Linked DNA regions of Coturnix japonica. The protein of the gene in region 1 interacts with the protein of each later gene in a pairwise test. Links are inferred from orthologs where the notes say so. Each region holds a gene or a part of one and is shown on either strand. Other genes may lie near its edges.

Region 1 (10,704 bases):
TGATCAATGGATGTAAAGAGATGAAAGCAGGACAACCACTCATCAAATGGCTTAAGACAGCACTTAAGAACGCAACACTATCACATTCAAAACAACTGTTTCCCCAATTGATAGCAGGATTGTTTTCAGTGTCATATTTCTATAGAGGCATTCAGAAGATCTGCCGCCTCACAGTCAGAACCCACAGGAAGCACAGAAGACTCCAAGATAACTTCTGTGCTTTTGATAGCTTAAGTCCCACTTTTAATATAGATGCATTGGGTTTCTTAAGTTCCTTCCATAAGTTAGAGGTGAAGCAGAAACACAACTCAACAGCTGATGGATCTTTAAAAAAAAAAAAAAAAAAAAGGCAATATAGCCCTAAGGAACCTTCTATACAAGAAGGTACTTAAAATACACAGTAAAATAGCACAACATTCGGGTACATAGACATAGAAGGTATTCACTATCCTATGTTCTTCACATTTTTCAGACTAATAAATTTTATAACTTAAAAAAATCTTCCAGGACTTAGTGAGTCAGCTATAATCCCTTTTATGAAGATTAGAATATATCCTCCAGTTTTTAACTTAGTCTTAGATGAAAGGCATTTATCAGATTAGAGAAAAAAAGGTCTTTTTAATATCATATTTCCACAGAGAACAGTTCAAGAGTTGAGCAAGTTTGTTCTTCTATAAACACAACACAGCATGCCCTTCCTTATATGTTCCCCATTTTCCCAGTCCCCAAACTCTTAAGGGCTAGTGAAGCTCTGCATACCTGCTGTCATTGAGGAAGACCACATCAAACCAATACCTGATATTCCCATTGAGTTCTTACCTGTAGCACTAAGCTTCAGAAAACACTAACATGACCTTTTTCCGCTACATTTTACCTACTTTCAAGCAACCACCTACATAAACTGCTAAAGGGATACGAATTTGAAGCCAGCACCTCAAAACTATCTTCATTTACCAAACATGTAACCACCAAGGAGCCTAAAGGAGGTAAAGCCAGAGAACACAGTAGGGTTTAAAACAAGGGACGGTGAAAGATTCTCCTCACATACTTCTGCATTTGTTAAGCAAATCATACACTCATCAAATCAGTTTTGCTTGTTATTTATGAGATGTTCTGCATAATGACATTAAAGATACCAAATAAAGACTCAATCCCCTTACTTAGCAACCATCCCAACCTTTAAGAACTCCACTATTGTGAAAGTAAGAACTCACCTGTGTTGTTTTACCAGACCCAGTCTCTCCAACCAGCACAAATGACTGATGCCTAATCAAGATATCCGTGAATCTTTCTTTATATTCCCAGACAGGAAGCTGTAGTCGTTTCTTCAGTATGTCATAATAACGAGGTGTATGTGGTAGATTTGTGAAAGGGTTAATACTGTGTGGAATCATTGCTGGTTTCATAGGTGGCAACCCAGCAGCAATGAGCGTAGAGTTAGACGCAGCTCGCAACTCCTTTTCCTTCTCCCTTTCTCTGTCACGATCTCTATCTCTGTCACGATCCCTGTCACGATCTTTCCGGTCATCACGGTCCCTGTCTCGGTCACGATCCTTCCTAAAATGAGTTAGGAAACAGCAGAAAATTAGGATATTTAAATGTTAGGAAGAGATTTGAACACAAATTGATTTTAAACATCTCTACAACAAGGTGAACATAAACCAAATATTTTAAGGATTCCTTCCAACAGTTACCTGTTGTTATCTGGGGTATAAACAAAGCGCAACTATTTCTAGTACTGTGCATCAATCACCATACACAACTACTGCCACAGTTCCTCTTGTCACAAGCAAGACCATAGAGAGCACCATCTTAACCCTCTTCATTTAATGGCTGTCAGCAACCTGCTACGCTCTGCGCTTCTCACAACTCTTCCTCCAAGTGCACAAAAATATGAACATTATTACTCTTATAGCCTAATTAACAAGAGAATTAGGCCAGCCACAGAAACTAATAATAAATGAGCCCTGAAAAATGTTTGATTCTAAGATCCCAGAATGGCTTTGGAGCTTTCAAAAAAAATAATAAAAGATTTTTTTAACAAGTCTTCCATACAATTCTAACTCAACTTTGATTGCTGAGTTAGAAACTTAGAGTTAAAACTAGTAAGTTATGGTGTTTTCTCCAGTATCGCCTCCTACCACCTGCTTCAACAACAGTATGTGTGCACTCCTATTTGTCCCATCCTGTTACCAAACCTCAGACATTGCTATATCTGCACAATTTGTGAAAATCTCTATTACCTGAACTATTCCACATCTTCAACATGAAGAAATACAAACTTAAGAACATCCATAAGGAAAAAACTTATTACTTCAAGTTATAAATCTACTCCATTTTCTCTAAACTAAGATAATCTACAAAGTTAAAATCAAAGCAGCAATACCAGAACAAGTCAATGGCAAATAACTGGCATTAAACACCAACCAATCTTGGACTGGTCCACTACTTTTATCAGAGATGTGAAGTATACTTTCTTCTAACCATAAAGTCCAAGAAATAATTATATTGCAAGTGCAGAGAAATAGGATTATTTTTGTTGTATGCTCAAAATTGCATCTCACCTCAGTCTTTGTGGCAGTTTCAGATTACTAAGATCTGTGTACCCGTCTCCACACACAATTTTGCTTCCCCTACTGAACCCTGATACACTCACCAAGAAACCCCCAGATTTACCAAAGAAATACAGCCACACAGTTCCAATAAAACTCCAAACCTTACTGTGATTTGGCACTTTGAAGAGAGTCCCACTTTACCAATAAATTCCATTTTTTAGATTACATTTTAAACAACTACAAGTTTAAAAAAAAAAAATGGCATTTTTATCTGCAAAACTTTTGAACTAGAAGTGCTAAAGTAATAAGCAAACTTCTAGCTAACGTAAATTAAATGGACAGCAAGTGGGAACCAAACTGGAACTGTTACTCCCCAGTGACTGTTATCTCATTAACTCTTCAGTCATAACAGAAAAGGAACCGATCAAGTTCTACCTACATTTCAGAAGTCAAAAAGCTGACTTAAAGGTCAACCAAGAGAGTTGATTTTCAGTTCCAAAAATGGTTAAGAACAGTATAAAAGAGGGGAATCAGACGTCAGCACAGAAAAAACAGACCTTAAATCTAATCATCAATATTAATCTTTCTACAACAGCATTACTTTCCTAAGAACATGTCTGTCAGCCTTCCACTACCACTGAAATCTATGAGGCACACCAGGTACCTTGCATCAAAACAAGGGACAGGTAGAGTGATGGTTACACTGCCAAATGATAACACTAAAATCTCTGGAAACACAACTTGGCAGTTCTTCATTAATGGAATGTCACATTTAAGTCGCTCCTCATCTCTGCACTTAACAGCCTGACCATAAACCCTAAAACAAACAACAAAAAGAATCAAAACTTAATAACATTTGTCTCGTGCATAAAGTCCACAACAATCTTCATAAATGGGAAGAGGTTGGTGGCAACGGTGGGTTTTGTTGGGCATTTATATTTATTAGTTGGATTTCTGTTCTCATGTGAGGTTGCCTGGTTTGCTACCTGAACTCCTTATGCCCACCCATACAAATAGATGGAAAAAAAAAAAAAAAGGTGAAAAAAATAAATCACTGACTTAGAGGACATAAAAGCACAGAAAACTGCAAATGGAAAAGAAATAAGGTTAAACCAACATTCACAGAATCACAGAATTGTAGGGGTTGGAAGGATCTCTAGAGATCGAGTCCAACCCCCCACCAAAGCAGGTTCCCCTACACCAGGTCATACAAGTGGGCGTCCAAGTGGGACTTGAATATCTGCAGAGAAGGAGACTCCACGACCCCCCTGGGCAGCCTGTTCCAGTTCCATTCATCACAACAGAAGTCTAAGCAAAACTAACATCACTGATACATGCATTTTTGCCACTACTAAGCAGACGCAACAATAGTTGTTGGCAGTCGATGCAGCAGCAGCAGTTAGATTGGCATTTCTGCTCTTTACCTAAGAAAATCAGTGAAAACGATGCATCACACAAACACAGCAACTGTGATGTTACACAACACCAAACAAAGATAAGCGTGCTTAGAAAAAAAAACCATCGGGTTTTAAATTGCACACATACAACTTGCACAGTAGCACTGTAACAGAAAACTTCTAAACCACACCTTCCCCAAAAGGTTTTGTCTTCACAGAGGATTCTTCAAGACAGGAAGATAACGAGTGGTGTCAAGCCACTAAGGCTGCAAGAACAGCTGCAAACCAACAGCATGACTGCCATGTGGGGTTACACACACTGATACAGGCCTCAGAAAGAACATAGCAACAACTCAACATAATTTTACATTGTAGACAGGTGACCCACGTTGAAGGCAAGGTACAATGCTATTCTATACATGATGTGGTATCTATTCAAGGAGCTAATATAGTTTAATCCAGTTCCAAAACCAACTACACTGCAGAAAGCCACAGTGTGCAGAATAGGACAAGAATATACATGTTGGTAACAACTTGTGCATCGCAGCCTTCTGTAGGCTGGAAAACCTACCGACCCTTACATAAGCCAGGACAACTTAGGATGAATAGTGTGTGCCTTGTGCTGGATGAACTAAGATCTCAAGGACTATGACAAAGAAATAAACTCAACAAGTCCACAGTGACTCTTAGTCCTGTGCCACTTAAAGCTTTTAACGGCAGACTTGGTAAAGTTTTAATGGCAGATGAGGGAAGGACAAAGGGACACAAACCCGGCACCTATGGAGGTTTGAGGTGCAATATTCTGTGCTGATTCTTCTCAGATCAACACTTTTACCTAAACAGCACTGCTGGGCTTCAGGGAGGAGCTGATTCAGGATGGGATTCAGGATGGGTTCTGTGCTTCCCAAGAAGGGCAGGCCAGATAAACACAGCCCTGCCTTCCTGAGCCTTCTGAGGCCCTTTGCTCCCAAACCAACGTCAGGGAACACAAAATATGAAGAGACCGCACTAAAACAACAACGGCACATTGTTTGTGTACCCCCCACGCCACTAACCTTGATGGAAGGCTGCTAAAGCTGGTGCATCGAGCCCTAAAAGTAACTAACGCAAAACAAAGAAACCTACTCCCACCGTGACATCCCACCCCAACCCCACCTGGCGCTGCCTCCTCACATGAGGCACAACCCCAGCCGGGTACCCAGCGCAGGCAGCTAACAAAGGAATAACGCTCCCACCCGCTTAAGGACGCAGTACCTCACGCTGACCCCCTGGATCACGTTTGCCACTAAACGAAAACGACACAAGCGCATCAAAAAGGAGATGCGGAGTTGAAGGTACGGGCAGGCCGCACACAAAGCCGCGCCGCCCCACCGCCCCCAGCACAACCCGGCCCCTCCTTCTCCTCCCCGCCGCCATCCGCCTCCCCCACTCTCCAGGCCGAGCTGGGCCCAGTCCCACGCTGCAGCGCGCCCGGGCCTCGCCGCTCCCATCCATCCATCCATCCCTTCGTGCCGCCCCGCACGGCGGAGGCTCCATCCCGCGGGGAGCGGCCTGGGCCCAGAACGAGCAGCCGATCACGGGAGCGGCGCTGATCCCCCCCATCCTCCCGCCCGCCGCGGGCCGCGCTGCCTCGTACCCGTCAGAGCGCTTCTTGCTGGAGCTGTAATCGTCGCCCAGATCTAAGCGGTGGCGCTTGGACATGGCGGGGGCCGCTGGGTGCAGCGGGGCCGGGTTCAAGGGAACGCGCTTTGCGCTTCAAGAGCAGCAGCGACGGCAGCGGCGCCGCGAGGCCAGGAGCAGCCACTAAAATGGCGGCCGGAAGGAAGCGACGGGGCTGAGCGAGCCGCTGCCGCGCATGGGAGTGAGCGCCGCCCCGCCCCGCGCCTCACAACGGCTGCGGCCCACAGCGCTGTGGGGGCGGGCGGGAGCGGATGGCAAAGGTGCTTTCCACAGTCCGTTCTGCTCCCCAGCACAGGAGTATTTCCACGGTGGAAGTTAAAAGCAGAATGATGTTGGCACGTCGTTTTTGTGGGCCGTTGCTGACGCCCATGTGTGTAGAAAAACGCGACCTTTCACAAGTCATCTGAAGCAGAAGTGAGAAAATCGGTGACGTTCATTCAAATACATGACACTCATGTATTTGGGATTGCTAGTGCAAGGGAAGCCCGTGTTCCTAACGCCAGCAGGCACGGCTGCCACTATTACATCAAAGTTCGTTAGATTTGAACACAAACTAGTATTTCATAACAACTGCTGAAGTGCAATGAGACACATGAGCTAAAAATGCCATTTTCTCAATACAGTTATCAGGTCTTTCTTGTGTACTGATGCATTTCACATTTCCAGCCAGTACCAGCAGCAATCTATGGCTCAAACTGGATCCAGCAAACCTGCCTTTTGGGTTGTCTCTGTGTCCTGAACTGTGTTCCTCATCTCCATCCTCCCCCAGCGCCTTCTAGGAACTGGGTTAACCATCCATGCAAGCTGTGTTTGTTCCCTGACTGTAAGCAGAGATGAGGCTGAGCAGGAGAAGACAAAATCAGGCAATTAAGATGTCCCTAAATGAGATGTCCTAAGTGAATCGTTTGTAATGTTAATCATTTCACCACTGATATGAGCACTATTATTTCTAGGCAGACCCCCGTGCTCTCACAACTAGATCCTTCAGCTGTTTCTCCTCTCATCCATCATTAAGTCTTAGCAGCTGCCTTGCTTTCCAAAACAGTCACTTGATAATACAGCATAGCTCATAAAAGTCAATCTCTGAGAGCTTCTCGAAAGGCAAGAAGGATGTTTCTTGATACTTATCTACTGTTGGACATTCTCTTCTCTGTTCCTCCCTGCTTTCCCAGTATATTTCATGTTCTCTCAGTGCTGCAGTAGTGGTTTAAATTAATGTCTCAGATAAGACAGGTTAATATTATGGCAGTACATTTCATTCCTATCTCTTCATCTAGGTGCACCTGACAAAAAATACATTGTTTTCCAAGTCATCCTCCCTGCCTGTTCTCACTGCCTTTCTGCCAGAGATTACCAAAACCTTCACCTAGCTACTTGGAGGAGTGGTCACTCCCCAGCACTTTGGTCAAAGGAATTAGGTTAGATCAGATGTTTTGAATAAGAATTTGTTGTTAACTTGTGTAACTCTGAGGGCAAGAGAGTATTCTCACAACTGGCTCAGCTAGCAAATCTGAAAATGGTCAGAAAAAATCACTTAGCAGCAAGTGACCTGTTCCACGGGCACAGCCAGCTCAGGAAGTAGGTGTTTACCCACACCCTCATGTTCTTCCAGAGTTACATCAGTGTAACTGCTATAACATTCCACAAAGACAAACCATCAGTGTATATTTAGTAGAAGAGCATTTTTTATTTTAAACGATACAACAAAACGACACCCTCAGCTCAAGTTCTAGGCACTACTACAATAAAGAATACCATTTTTTTCTGCTTGAAGTGATAACTGAAATAAACATTCCAGAAATTCTGGACTTTGAGCTTTTCATGCAAAACTGGAAGTAATTTTCCAAGTTATATTACAAAAAAACTCTGGAAAAATCTGTGTCACAGTTTGCCAGGGGTTAAATGTTACGGGTTTCTCTCTACATGCCAAATATCAAGCTTATTTTCTCCAAGGCAGCGTACAAAGCACTACATTCCCAGAGGGTAGCTACACAAAGCTCTTTAAATGACAACTGTATTAAGCAAAAGCTTAAGAATACTGGAAATAGGGGAGACGTTGAGCTGATTAGAGAAGGGAGACAAAAAATAAAACAATAAGGGGGCTGGATCTCCCTGGAAAGTGGGAAAAATAGAAGAATGTAAAAGCATTACATGCATCAGCTGTGAAGGGTAACACCTGAGATTCTTAGAAGGCAGAGGCTGTTCAACAACAGGTGCATGGAGCGTTCAACTGTACGTTCCTGATCTTGATTGCTCCTCCAAGCAGCATAAAGGCACTTAGGCTCTTGATCCAGGTTACCACATGGCCAACCTCAGGAAAGCTCCTGGTTTAGGAGGAGGGAAAAGCAGAATAGATATCTCAGCAGGCATGAGATCTTAAAACTGGTTACACCTTCTCAGAAAACAATACATATATAGTGTGTCATGTGGGGTGAGCTGGAGTCCTCTGTCCCAGACTGATACCTCATGCTCCAATTGTCTTTATTAACAGTACTTTGCAAACTGCTGAATGCAGCCTCCACCCGTGTTTTGAGCTATTGGCTCCATAATGAACAATTTTGTCCCATCATCCTGAAGAATTGTCAATCTAAGGCTTTCATCCTGCAAGCACACACATGCTTTATTTTACTAATGCAGTTAATCCTTTTAACTTCAAAGGGATTACTACAAGTAGCAAAATTAAGCATGTAGGTAAGTATTCACAGGATTCTAGCCCAAATGTAAGATAAGACGAGAAAGAAAGATTGAGAAGCACAAATTGACATAATGACAAAGTGGTGAGCATTACGTCAAAAGCTTCAAGGATGAAAGGAATGTGCAAAATAGGGCATATTTAAGCATATTTTCCGCCTTTTCAAATACATTTGTTAAATAATAGTTCGGTTTCCCCCATGTCTTTCATAACCATCTATAAGAATGAAAATCTTAGATCACTGAGTTAGGAGATATTTATGAGTTGCCTTCTGAGCATCTATTCTTCTCTCAGTTTCTTACCCTAGTTTTTAAAAGTACACTCCTTGGTATCAAAATCCTCTCAGACAATTTTTAGTGAATATTTCTTTGATTTTCATGTACACATATTACTCTCATGTTAATTGGGTTAAAAAGGGCATGAACATTTAAAACTGAAACAGTTGCTGTGAATAACATCTATGAAACACTATAATTTGTTTTCTGATTTTGTGTTTCCTTTTCCCCAAGAGACTAAGCATGGGTCTTAGGCAAGTTGTAATTCAAGTACATGCCCCTGGAACAAATGAGGATTCTGACAGAGAAGTCCAGTATCACAATTTTTTACTGCATGCAACTAATTATTTCACCGTCCTCATAGAGATTCTAAGCCTATAAAGGGCAGAAAAATGACATATATCCAGCCTAGCATCTTAGCTGAAACACACCTTCCTTATTCAAGCTAAAACAAGGTTGTGGGTGATGTGAAACCACACTTACTCATCCACTGCAGGAATGGAAGCAGAAAGAGTAAGCAGTTACAAGAGACAGCTATGAGGGGTGGGAGGGAGCATTTAAATTTGCTGTAGCTTTACTGTTAGAGCCCTAAAATCTCTGTAGTATGTATTTATTTCATGGCTGGCCAGTTGGTGGTAGACTCAAGGTTATACATTTGCAATGCTATGGCCACACTTACTTTGCCAATATTTACATGGCCACACTTACTTTGCCAATATTTACAGTCTGTTTTTTAAAAATCATAGAATCCTTAGAATTGGAAGGAACCACTAAAAGTCATCCAGTGCAACGCTCCTGCAACCAAATGGATATCTGCAGCTAGATCAGATTGCCCAGGGCCTGATGCAGGCTCACCTTGGAAGTCTCCAGGGACAGAGTATACCCATCACATCTCTGGGCAGCCTGTCCCAGTGCCTCACCATGCTCACTGTAAAAGACTTTTTCCTTATATCTAACCTAAATCTACCCTCTTTTCACTTACAACTGTTTCTCCTTGTCCTTTCACCACAGACCCTGCTGAATAAACTGTCCCCTTCTTTCCTGTAGCTCTCCTTCAGATAGTGAAAGACCGCTATCAGGTGACCTTGGAGCCTTCTCGTCTCCAGGATGAACAGCCCCAGCTCTTTCAGCCAGTCTAACACTTTCTTCCTTTTTTTTTTTTTCCCCTTTTTTTTAAATCTACAGCACATGATATTAAAGAATTTCCTGCAAACTAATTTAATAAAAATAATAAAAAAGTATTTATGATAAAGCAGTCTGCTCTAAAAGAATATATATAAATGGATAATGTTCTTATCAAATTACCCAGGAGCCTTAAATGCAAATGCTCATCACAGCCAAGCTCTCATTCTGTCCTCCCACCAAGCCTGTGTGAATAAATGGACCTAATCCTCATGTTCTGTCACATCACTGGAGAAAGAATACTTGAGACAAGAGCCCACAATCAGAGCAGGTTTTATGTTAGACTCACATATTTTTCAGATTTAAAATTGTGCAGATGAATACATAGACAGATATAAATTTCTGCTGTGAAGAAAAGAGGCAGCTTCTCTGTAATTACAGAAACTAAACTTTGCAACACTTGAAGTATATATAAATCAATACTTTGAATTGCTCTGGGAAGCGTGCTCTAGGAAGCCAGCATAGTAACAGCAGTGTTGCCATGATAGTCTCTTTTTTGCTGCTTAAGTTGGCTATCTGAACTTTTTGAATGGTCTTTAAACATTATCCCAAATAGAACACATCTGTAATAGCCTGAAGGTGAGGAAGGCAGGGATGATTTTGTTAAAGTTTCATAAAGAAGAAAAAAGAGACAGAGGTGGGGAATTGCATATGTTAACAAAGTTCATTTCGTATCTTTCTAGCAAGCTGAAACAGTAGCAGCTAATGGCTTAAAAAAAGCCCACCATATCTTATTGACAGATAAAAAAATATACATACTTCATTAACAGGGACAGATATTGGGCCACCAGTACAATTACATCACTCTGTCATAACATTTCAAAGAGGAAAAATTAATGAGTACCTGCAGTCCTCTGAGAAAATGATGTCTGAGAACCAGGTGAAATAGAAAGGAGCACCAGACACAAGAAACTACAGTGCTG
Region 2 (10,728 bases), on another chromosome or scaffold:
CTGAGTGGACGACCACTGTGCTGCAGCAATGGCTGTACTTGCCACAGAGAAGGCGCTGACTCTGTTCCCATCTGGCAGAAGCAAGTCTCTGAAAGCACAGGAATCACACACCTGAGTAAGCACTGCTTTTTCTGAAGTGACCATACACAAGGAGGTAGAGTCTGCCAGCATGCATGGGTTTCTTGGCAGGTCTTAAACATTCTGATTGCCATGATTGTGCCAAAGAACTGCTTGGCAGGTAGAGGAGCTATGATCAGTGTTGTACAGTCAATAACCAGCCACAAGGCTTCCAATGAAACAACTGTGCTGTGTATGAAAGCGGCTACAATGGCAGCGACGGAGGACCAGCGATGCAGACGATAAGGAACAACTGCTGTCGCTCTCCTCACACACAATAAGGAAAAGGAGACACGTAACAAAAGACACTTAAAGGAAGCAGAACTGGAGTGATGGTAATCTTAAAAGCCACAGAGACAGCCATGAATCTTTGTATTTATGAAGGGGTAAGGGGGGAAATGAACTGCGACTGCAACTCACTTTCTGGCACTCTTTGCAAAGTCAACACCAATTGTTTTGCCATCAATTTTTAATGGTGGCTGAAGACTTTGTAAAATCTGCAACAGTTGGGAAGCATCCTACAACAAGAAACACTCATTATTATGAAAAGCAAGTTACTGGAGAGGACACACAAGTTCCCAGAGTTCCATCTTTTCACACACTGCTAGAAACATTTAAAGCTATGGTAACACCTCTGTACCCCCTCACACCATACATGCTGAATACAACAGGATTATAGCCTGCTGACAGTGAGCTTCCCACAAACGCAGGGTCACTGATGACTAAACACTTCAACTGTCATCTTTATCAAAAAGCTCTGTTTGTCCCAAATGACTCCAAAAGGCAGCCCAGCAGAGGCTGTCATCAACCACCCGTTTTCATCCAACACTGAACTGTTGAACTCTGCTTAAAGCAAGTCCAAACAGACCACACTGATTGTCAATTTGAACATCTCCAACAACAGAGGTTCCAGCACCCCTCTGGGAGCCTTCTTCCAGTGTTCAACTTCACACAAAAGGAAGACATTCTCCTTGTACCTTACACTGCCATTTCCCACGTTTCAGTGTGCCTGCTGCCCTCACCATACACCCTTTGAGAACATCTCTGCCACCATTACAGCCTTGCTCTGGATGACGCTGAGAGCAGCAAGATTCCCCCTCCTTCACCTTCTCAAGGTGAAAGGAGCCCAATCCTATGCACTTCCTCACACTGTACACTCCAGCCTTTTATTGTGATCCAAACAACCCCGGCCCATTATTTGTGACCCACGTATGAAGCGAGCTTTCAACCCAGAACTGCACTCTGCCATGAACACTTTTCCCCTGTGTTCACAGCATCCCCCCCCTACTTTCCTTCCAAGCTGCAGCTAACAATGAAAGGCTCTGACACATTTAGTATTTGTTCAATGATCTATGAACCCCCAGGGAACTGGGGCAGACCTCAGCACAAAACCAATAAGGCCCTCACCATGGCAGAAGACAGCTGCACAAATGCAAAGCCTCTATTTTGCTGAGTCTGCTTGTCTTTGATAAGACGAATATTATTGACTGCCAGAGAAGCATACGGAGACAAGGCAGTCATGATGGATTCCACTACTGTGTGAGGAGCAATGTTTCGGAGAATGATGGCTGAGGAAAAAAGAAAGTATGACATTAGCTATGTACATAAGAACTTGAAGTGCTCTGAAAAGCCTTAAAAAAACAAACCAAAAAAACCCCACCACCAAACCCAAAACAGCAGCAGTTTTGGACAAGAGCACGTTTCTGTTTCAAGAGTACAGTATTTCGAGAGTTGGCAGGAAGCACTTGCTCTGTTGGGAAGATGAGAGGGCTGTCAATACTGTTCTAATGAACGGAAAGCACTTCCTGAGCAGAAGCCCTTGCCAACATTCACACGTACCAGTCTACAAAAAGGAAACAACCTAACCATGCTAAGTGCTGTGCCCTGAGAGAGCTCAATGTGGGTGCTAAAGGACACTCTGAGGTACAAACAGGACTTTTCTGCACAGGTTCACAAGTCTCTTTTTTGCAATAATTTCAAGATGACTTACTATCGCAGTAGTAATCCACAGACTGAACGGCTTCTGCTGTTCCAGGTGGCACCTCCTGCTCTGAATCTTCACAGGAAGGAAAAACTTTAATCACAATGTTGCTCAAAGCCAGAATATCACAGGGTAGGCCACAACCTCCATTCTCTTCCAAATTCAAAGACACCCAAAGAGATGAAAGCAACTTACCAAATTTGTCCGCTCCACAGCGGAAGCATTTCAGCCTCCTTCTGAAGTTGTAAAGACAGCACTGTGTAGAAAAAAAACAGTACATCTAGTAAGGACTCCACTGACCCATAACAACGGTGGCATTTGCTGTACTTTGCTGTAAACAAGACAATCAAGCTGAGTACTGCAACAAAGCTGAACCTACTAGAATAATCAAGAACAGCAGAACTCGTGCTCATTGGTACTGCAGCTGCTTTTCAGAACACCCCAGCCACCTCTGATCAAGTCAGTAAACTATCCTGAATTACACGACTATGTTATCTGTATCGTTTAACACAGGCTCAAAAACAAGTCATCTTCATGTGATCAAAGCAGAACAAAGCCTGGTTTTGACCTTGCTACATCATCTCCACTTAAAGAGGGACAAACAAATGTACAGCAGCATGGAGCAGACAATCAATTGGGCACAAAAATGAGTCGTCACCTGGAGGATAGAGAATTCACCTAATGACGTTGCGTTCTGGTACGCTTCACTGACTGACTTCTGTATAAGCAAAAACGACAGCATCCTGCTAGTCTATTTTCCAGTACATACACAAATATTGCATCCATCAGCAAAAGCTGAAGCTCAACCTAAGGCTGAAAGTATTATTGATTTTCTAAAAAGAGATGGCAAAACCACAGAGAAATTCCCTCAGGGCCATGACTATCCTATCAGCTCTGCTGTGAGGAGCAGCTCCTGGGAGATGTGCTCTGGGTCAGGCATACATTAGTGGGAGCAACACACAACTCCACTAATGAACAGAGTCTCAGCTGGCAAGTACACCAGTGAGCCCCAACCCCTCTTATCTTCTAGCTGCTGATGTTCTCTGTGGACAATTTCACCACTCCAGGTGTTTCTACCAGCAAAACCTCTTCACTCCTGTGCCTTAGTGTTCCTCTGCTGTTGTTGACCACAAGGCCTGTATTATGCATTGTTTTGTCTTAATCACACAGCTGGTGTAAAGAACTGAAACGATGAGAAATAGATAGAAACACACACTGTACCTTGTTGCAAAGCCAGTCCTCAAATTTCGGCCTGGGGTTGCTGTAGTGCATCGCAATCTGCTTCCCCTGAATCACCAGCTTTTTCTGCAAAAGAAGTGGTTTCAGTTATTCCTGTATCGAGGCACACGTGTTCATTTTCCCATGGCAGAGCACCCTTCGGAGGAATCAGTGCTCCTGAATTAAATGGACAACATATGGGGAGGATGTGGAGGACAACCACCGCCACCTACACCCTGCCCATCCAATCCTGCAGAGAGGAGGACGAGGGCAGTAAGAGAATGGGATGTGGAGCAGAGATAAACGGAATCAGGGAGTGTTGAAAAAGTTGCCAAACACTAAACGCTGACATGGAACCAGGAAGTGTCTCGAAGGAGACAGAGTCCTAACTCGCTGCGTTCAGGATTAACACATTTTTAGGAGTCTCCTTGCCCCGTTTCTATTCACTTCTGGTATAGTATTGAGCGACTTTTTAAACATGTCCTTAGGTGACTGCTTCACTTCTTCCCCTACTCCAAATTCCCCAGACCTTTAAACAACCACATTTGCAATATTTTTCCAAGCACTTTCTTCAGAAGCGTCCCTTTGTAAATACAGTAATTCCTTCCAAAGGGACCCTGTTTAGACTTCTTGGAGGCTGGTTTACGAGTGCCATCAACCAAAACGGAACTCAGAGTGCTTTCCTTTGACTAAAGCATCAGTTCAATTGGAAGCCTGCGCATGAGTTTTGTGTTCTTCATTCAGGCATGAGCTCTCCAAAATGACTAACTAGAGCGAAGCTTCTCCTGGGGTAGGAAAAGTTCACGATGCTTTCAGCATGTCTGCTCACCCTGACTTCACAGCAATTGGGAATTTAGATTGCTTTTAGAAGCCCCAACTCTCAGCCTCGTGCTTTGCCAAGTGCGGGCACGTAGAACGCCCCTTCATTCAATATACGGACAAAGTATTTCAGTCAAACAGGCAGAAGGAAGTTAAGTCTGAGGAAACGTGCACTACAGGCCAACCCCGAGACACTTTAATACAAGAACCAGTTTTACGACAGGTTGGCTTATTGCAGAGGTACCACAGGAGCACCAGGACCAGTGGCTTCTCTGTAACAGGGTCTGACAGATACATGTAGCATGAATAAGGCTCTCACATTCTGTGCAACTATATAGGGCAAAGCCATTTCTCCTACCGGCAGGAGGGAGGGTTGGAGGGCCCAGCGCTCACTGGATATGCACACATAGAAACAAAGCTGCTGGCACAGTTGCAATACATCATTCTTTCATCTAACAGTCAGCGACCGGGCTGCCGGGGAGACTCTATGTTTTCCCTACTACTAGGGTGGCTGGGTTACTGGAGTGAATTTGAATATTTGTTTCAATAAATTATGCATCAATACAGCTTTGTATATATTAAAACTGTCTCATTTCTAAAAATGCACTCAGCATTGATTTACTGACACGAGTCCTTCTGCTGCACCCGCCCACCCTACGGAGCAGGGCACCATGAAACAGAACCAGAGCTGTGCTATGGGGAACGACTCCCAGCACAAAGCACACAGCTACCTCCATCTGCTGGAGATGCTCACAGTGCTGCTGCAGCGCCTCAACACATAAACCAATGCAGCAGAATACATTCCTCATGCTGCCCACAGACCTTCACAGCATGCACTTAGCTGTAGAAGCACAAGGGGCTCAATATACTTTGCTCGCTTCAAAAGCGTATTTAACATCTGTTGTTAAAACAGACTAAGGCACAAAAATTAGCAAATCCAAGGCGTGCCTCCAGTGCAAGTGGAAAGCAATGAGAGCACTTCCTGCACTTGGGCTCTTCATCAAATCACAGTCCAGAAAAGCCAAAATACACAGCGCAGATTTGAAGAGCCCTCAGTCCACATTAGACATATTTGGAATAACCACGTTTCTCCATCATTAGAGCCAGGTGTCTCCCCTTAACTCAGGGAACGCATCTTTCTAATGACCTGGCACATCTTTTTCTGAGCTCTACTGCAGCTTAATGCTGATGTAATGAAAATATCACAGTATCCAATGATGCCTTCTCTGGCAACAGGAGAAGTAGCAGGTGGAAGTAAATGAAGAGCCATTTATGGACTATATGCTACTCTTCCCAGAGCCAAATAAACTGATGCTGTGTGATAAGACAACAGCTCGTTTTATGAGGGAGTGCTCAAAACAGCCCATTTTCTGTCCTAACGTTAGCTGCTGTTTTGTACCACTGTTAACATTTTAATATATACAAAGCTTTTATTCATTTCAATCACTGTTATGGACCAAACCACTCCTTCCACCTTTGTTTTTTTTTTTTTTTTAACTGTACAGACTTTTTCCATTTTCAGGAATATCTAGACTTGGTGAGTGAAGCAACCTGATTGGCTTCCATCCAGCTGGTAGCATCTTGAAAGTGATAAAACTCCACGAAGGCGAAACCACGGCTTACACCTAGAGACAGCATTCAGATATAGACGGGATACTTGTGTTAGTCAGTTCCTTTAAAACAGGTGAATCTCTCTCCAACTGCTTCATTACTTCATGACAAAGCAGCTTTACAAATGCGACGTCAACTGCTGGGATCTGCTCGTTATTTTGCCATGGCAAGGAACCAAGCTCCCTTAACTGGCTACATTTCACTCCATTTGAATCCACGTTTACAGGTAACCATGCAACAGACTACATACTATTAAATGGGTTTATACTAGTATTACTTACCAATACCTGTTAACTAAAACCCCTGGAGACAGACTTCTTTTTAACAGGACGAGCTATCTACAAGTCTTCCAAAAAGCCACATTCCTTAGCCATGGCAAACGTTTATTTTTTTATTGATTGCACGTGCTTGCAGTTTGGGGATAATTCTGGACACTCTTTTGGGCTGGGGAAGAGGAAGGCCGTAGCAAAAACTGGATAAGAGCTCTCACCTGTCTTTCTCTTCATCAGCCTCACGTCTGCAGGCTGAGGACCTTCAAAGGACTCAATAAGCTCCCGGATCTGCGTGAGATTTTAATCAGACAGTTAAGTTTTCAAATATTGGCACACAGCTCAGGCAAACAGAGAAGCAACCCAACCTACAGCATGCACAAGAGATACACAGAGCACAGGGAAAAGAAGAAAACCTTTAAGGTGAACTGGAGCCTGACATGCAGCACAGAACCCACACAGCCCTGCACTGTCCTCACTTAGCTCACAGAATCATCCAGAATCTGAATCACCGTGGCCTTGAATTCCAAGGCCATCAGTACGAAATTTGGCTTACTCCAATGTTGCTACAAAGAATGCTGCTAGCACAGCCCCCTCCCTGCAAGCCTGAATACAGCCAACTCCTAACAAAGCAAACTAACACGACTGGGAGGTTCAGCTATGCATATTTCCTTAAGCCCATAGCCATGACTGCAACCTTCTAACACAATTCCCCTTTGCTTTTCACAAAGTAAGTGAGATTTGTTAAGAATACTGTCAAAAGACACTACAGGGCCAGCAGCCCTTCAGACACAACCGAGCTGCTTAAGTTGGGCATCACAAACTAGATTAAATTGAGAAGGAGCACAAAGGAAAAATAAACACGAAGAACTGGCTCCTAAGAAAAAGGTTCTCAGCAGCTCTTACTCATGCTGCATTACATACAACAGCAGTATTTACAATGTGCTGAATTAAAAGCAAAAGAAGCAGAGACCAATCACTGAGGTGGTGCAAAAGGATTCTCTGCATTAGCAACTGGTGCACAAAGATCTCAGGGTCAGGAGGGGAGTCTGCCTGAAAACAAGCCGATACACCTCGGCTTTTACAGCTGGTTCTTATCCCACCTCCCACAGCAGCTGTAACCTTGTGGTCCTGGTTGCTCAAAGAGCAAAAAGCCTCCAAGGGGGGCTGCAAGGTCTTTCTATTGCAGTCAGATGATGGCGCACAGCGCTCGCTCCTTCCCTCAGCTCCAGAGCAGCCATTTTATGGCTATCACAGCTGTACACACACAGCTCCATAGGGCTGCTCTGAGCCGAGGAGCTCAGCATCTGAGCCGCCCCACCAGCCCCTATTTCTGGCTTCCACAAAAGCCTAAAAAAGAATTAAACCACTTTTTCCTTTAACAATTCCTGGAGAGTAACAACAAACACATACAACGTGCATCTTTATCCTCTTCCAAGTGCTGAGTTGGAAGAGTAAAGAACTACACACACATAGCTTTAAAACCCACAAAAAGCTTATGGGAATCGCAGTGTTCACACAGGGTCCTGTTTAAAACAGCTTAACACTGAGGTGACCTCTGCTGTTAAACAGCAGCAGCCGGAACCCTTTCAGGATTCAAAATGGAAGCGCTCCCAACGCATTTAGAAGGGGGGGGGGAGGGGGAACATGACATGGCGCTCAACAAAATGGCAGCAGCTCTGAGCACTCCTCAAAGCTCCTTTTGCCTACTCACATCGTTCTCTGTAACCGTGATGGGGAGGCCACGCAACATGATGGTCTTGCTCTCCTTCTCGTCGTTAATGTCGTTCCTGTAGTCGTGCTCTCCGTAGTCCCCATCGGAGTGATAACCATCTTCGGATTTATCGCTGTTCCTGCGTTCCCGTTCCCTCTGGAAGCCAACAGCCGTCAGGACCCCGCTGCCACCCACCAACACCCCATTGCTCAGCCCGCATCGCTCTGCTCACCTCGGGGCTGTCGTAGTCTCTGCTGTCGTAATCTCTGTCGTAGTCTCTGCTGTCCCGGCTGTCGTAGTCCCTGCAATCCCTGCTGTCGTAGTCTCTACAGTCGTAGTCTCTGCTGTCCCTGCTGTCGTAGTCCCTGCAGTCTCGGCCGTCTCGACTATCGTAATCCCTGCAGTCCCTGCTGTCTCGACTATCGTAGTCCCGGCTGTCGTAGTCCCTGCAGTCCCTGCTATCGCGGCTGTCGTAGTCTCGACTATCGTAGTCCCTGCTGTCGTAGTCTCGATAGTCCTCGTAGCGCTCCCCGCGCCGCTCCTCGCTGCACCGTTTGTACTCATCCCTGCGGCGGCTCCGCGGCTCCCGCTCGTCTCGATCCTCCCTCTCCACGATGGAGCCGTAGCGGCCGCTGCGCTCCGTCCTGCTCACACTGAGGGGACACACCGAGCTCACACCGAGCCCCCTCCGACCCTCATCCCCCTCCGACCCTCCCCGCCTCGCCCCGCCGCCATCTCACCGCTTATCCGAGCCCATGGCGCTGCCCACGGATCGTCCCGGCTCCTGCCCGGCGCTGACCGCCACTACGCGGCGCCGAACACACGCCCGCAACCCCCGCTCCCTCAGCACAAAATGGCGCCGAGCTGACCGCCCGTCTTCTACCCAGCGGGCACCGCGCGAGCCGCCTGGAAGCTTCCAGCTGTTGCGCACGCGCAGCGGTGTACAGGGCACGCTGGGAGTTGTAGTTCGGCCCGCACCAACATGGCCGCCGTCGTGCCCAGCACTGTAGCATCATGGCTATGGGGGTCCCCAGTGCCGGCCCTGCATTGGTACCATGCCCAGCCCCACTCTACCCCCTGTGCCCCCCCAAATACATTTGTATCCGTGCATTGACAGCTGTCTGTGCCACCCTGATGCTCAATGGGGTCACCCCGTGCCATGAGGACACCCCCTGCCCCCCGTTATCGCAGCTCCAGCCCCACACTTTGCAGCATGGCTAATGAAGCCCCCCCCGGCTGCAGCCCCTGCCCCTCCCCGCCCGGCTGTTAGGACCCAGCTGCTGCCCCAGCGCCGTCAGTGGGCGGGCAGAGCTCGGGGGTGACAGCCGGAGCCATCGGCGACAGGCAAACAACGGGATGAGTAATGGGGGACAGCCAGGGGGGGGATGGGGCCGCAGGGAATCCCAGTCCTGCAGTGTGAGCGGGGCTGGTGGCAAGGACCATCCTCAAGGAGCCAAGGTATGTTGGTGCCACCCCACTGCTTGGTGACCCCCAGTGAGGAGGGGGACCCAGAGCTGCGGGGATGGGGTGGGTGGGTTGGCTCTGTGGGATGGGATGGGGTGTTGGGATGGTTAAGGTGCCAGCAGGTCCCACAGTGCCACCCCTGCCATCATCTCTCTGGGATGCTTTGGAGACCTGCTCTGTGTTTCTATGTGGATCTGGTTTTACTCCTTCCCCAGCAGGTAAGGGGACATGAGAAGATGGTGGCCATGCTCAAGGTGGGCTCTCCCTCCATGGGATGCAAGAAGCACGCCCCTGTGACCCCGGCTGTGGAGCTGTTGGCTTAGCCCCCATGGGCATGGAGAACCGAATGGGGCCAAATGGCACAACCAGCCTGGAGAACCCCACCATTCCAGAGCAGTCCACAGCACAGGAGGTGCTGGGCCTCCTCTGCATGGTCCTGCTCACCATCACTGCCCTCGTGGCCAACGTGGTGGTGATGGTGGTCATCCTGAAGACCCCTCTCATCCGCAAGTTCATCTTTGTCTGCCACCTGTGCGTGGTTGACCTCCTCTCTGCCATCTTCCTCATGCCTCTGGGGATCATCTCCAGCTCCTCCTGCTTCGACAGGGTCATCTACAGCATCGCCGAGTGCCGGGCCTTGATATTCCTCAACATCTGCTTCGTCAGCGCCTCCATCCTCACCATCTCTGTCATCAGCATTGAGCGGTACTACTACATCGTCCACCCATTGCGCTACGAGGTCAAGATGACCATCAGGCTGGCTGTGGCAGGGGTCATTCTCATTTGGGTCAAGTCTGTCCTTATCACCATCCTGGCATTGGTTGGGTGGCCTCAAGACAACGGGGCCACCAGCGCCAGCCGCTGCACGGTCTACTGGAGCCCTGGGGCCCACAAGAAGGCTTTTGTCGTCATCTTTTGCATCACCTGCTTCATCCTGCCCACCATCATCATCTTCGCTGTCTATTGCAGCGTCTACCGGGTAGCCCGCCTGGCAGCCCTACAGCATGCGCCCGCCCCGGCGGCTGCCCCACGGCCCCGCTGTGACTCCATCGCCAGCCAACTGACCATGGTCACCATGAGGAACCTGCCGCTGCCCCGCCTGGCACCCGAGCGCTTTTTGGGAGGGAACAAGGCCATCCTCACCTTGCTCCTCATCGTGGGTCAGTTCCTGTGCTGCTGGCTGCCCTTCTTCGCCTTCCACCTGCACTTCTCTGTGGGTGCCACTGCGCAGGGCGGTGGGCACGGCGAGATGCTGGTTACCTGGATTGCCTACTCCTCCTTCGCCATCAACCCCTTCTTTTATGGGCTGCTTAACAGGCAGATCCGCCAGGAGCTGGCCCGGCTCTGGCGCGCTCTTCTCCACCGTCCGCTGGCGCAGGAGCTGTGTTTGGCCATTTCCGAGGCCTCTGTCCAGGAGAACGTCCTGCAGTTCCTCCAGAGAGCTGCCTGCACGCTGGAAACCCACGCTGGCTGCATCAGCCCCAGGAACAGGCTGGAGCAGGGCAAGGGGGGCTGCCCCATCCCTGGCCAGGTTC

The links.
Region 2: the proteins of DHX15 (region 1) and RBM5 interact in binary tests that used the Homo sapiens proteins (3 or more experiments, as listed by UniProt). The link is inferred for Coturnix japonica from reciprocal best matches to the Homo sapiens genes DHX15 and RBM5.

The regions. Positions count from the first base shown.
Region 1 is NC_029519.1:66,704,917-66,715,620, reverse strand, and holds the start of DHX15 (pre-mRNA-splicing factor ATP-dependent RNA helicase DHX15), read right to left. Parts: upstream 5,778-10,704; 5' UTR 5,654-5,777; coding exon 5,589-5,653; intron 1,558-5,588; coding exon 1,215-1,557; intron 1-1,214.
Region 2 is NC_029527.1:1,961,793-1,972,520, reverse strand, and holds the start of RBM5 (RNA-binding protein 5), read right to left. Parts: upstream 8,605-10,728; 5' UTR 8,487-8,604; coding exon 8,470-8,486; intron 8,383-8,469; coding exon 7,962-8,382; intron 7,886-7,961; coding exon 7,730-7,885; intron 6,307-7,729; coding exon 6,237-6,306; intron 5,761-6,236; coding exon 5,687-5,760; intron 3,404-5,686; coding exon 3,320-3,403; intron 2,355-3,319; coding exon 2,294-2,354; intron 2,174-2,293; coding exon 2,108-2,173; intron 1,686-2,107; coding exon 1,525-1,685; intron 636-1,524; coding exon 538-635; intron 89-537; coding exon 1-88. Other genes in the region: probable G-protein coupled receptor, read left to right, coding at 9,468-10,728. UniProt on the Homo sapiens protein: Component of the spliceosome A complex. Binds to ssRNA containing the consensus sequence 5'-AGGUAA-3'. Regulates alternative splicing of a number of mRNAs.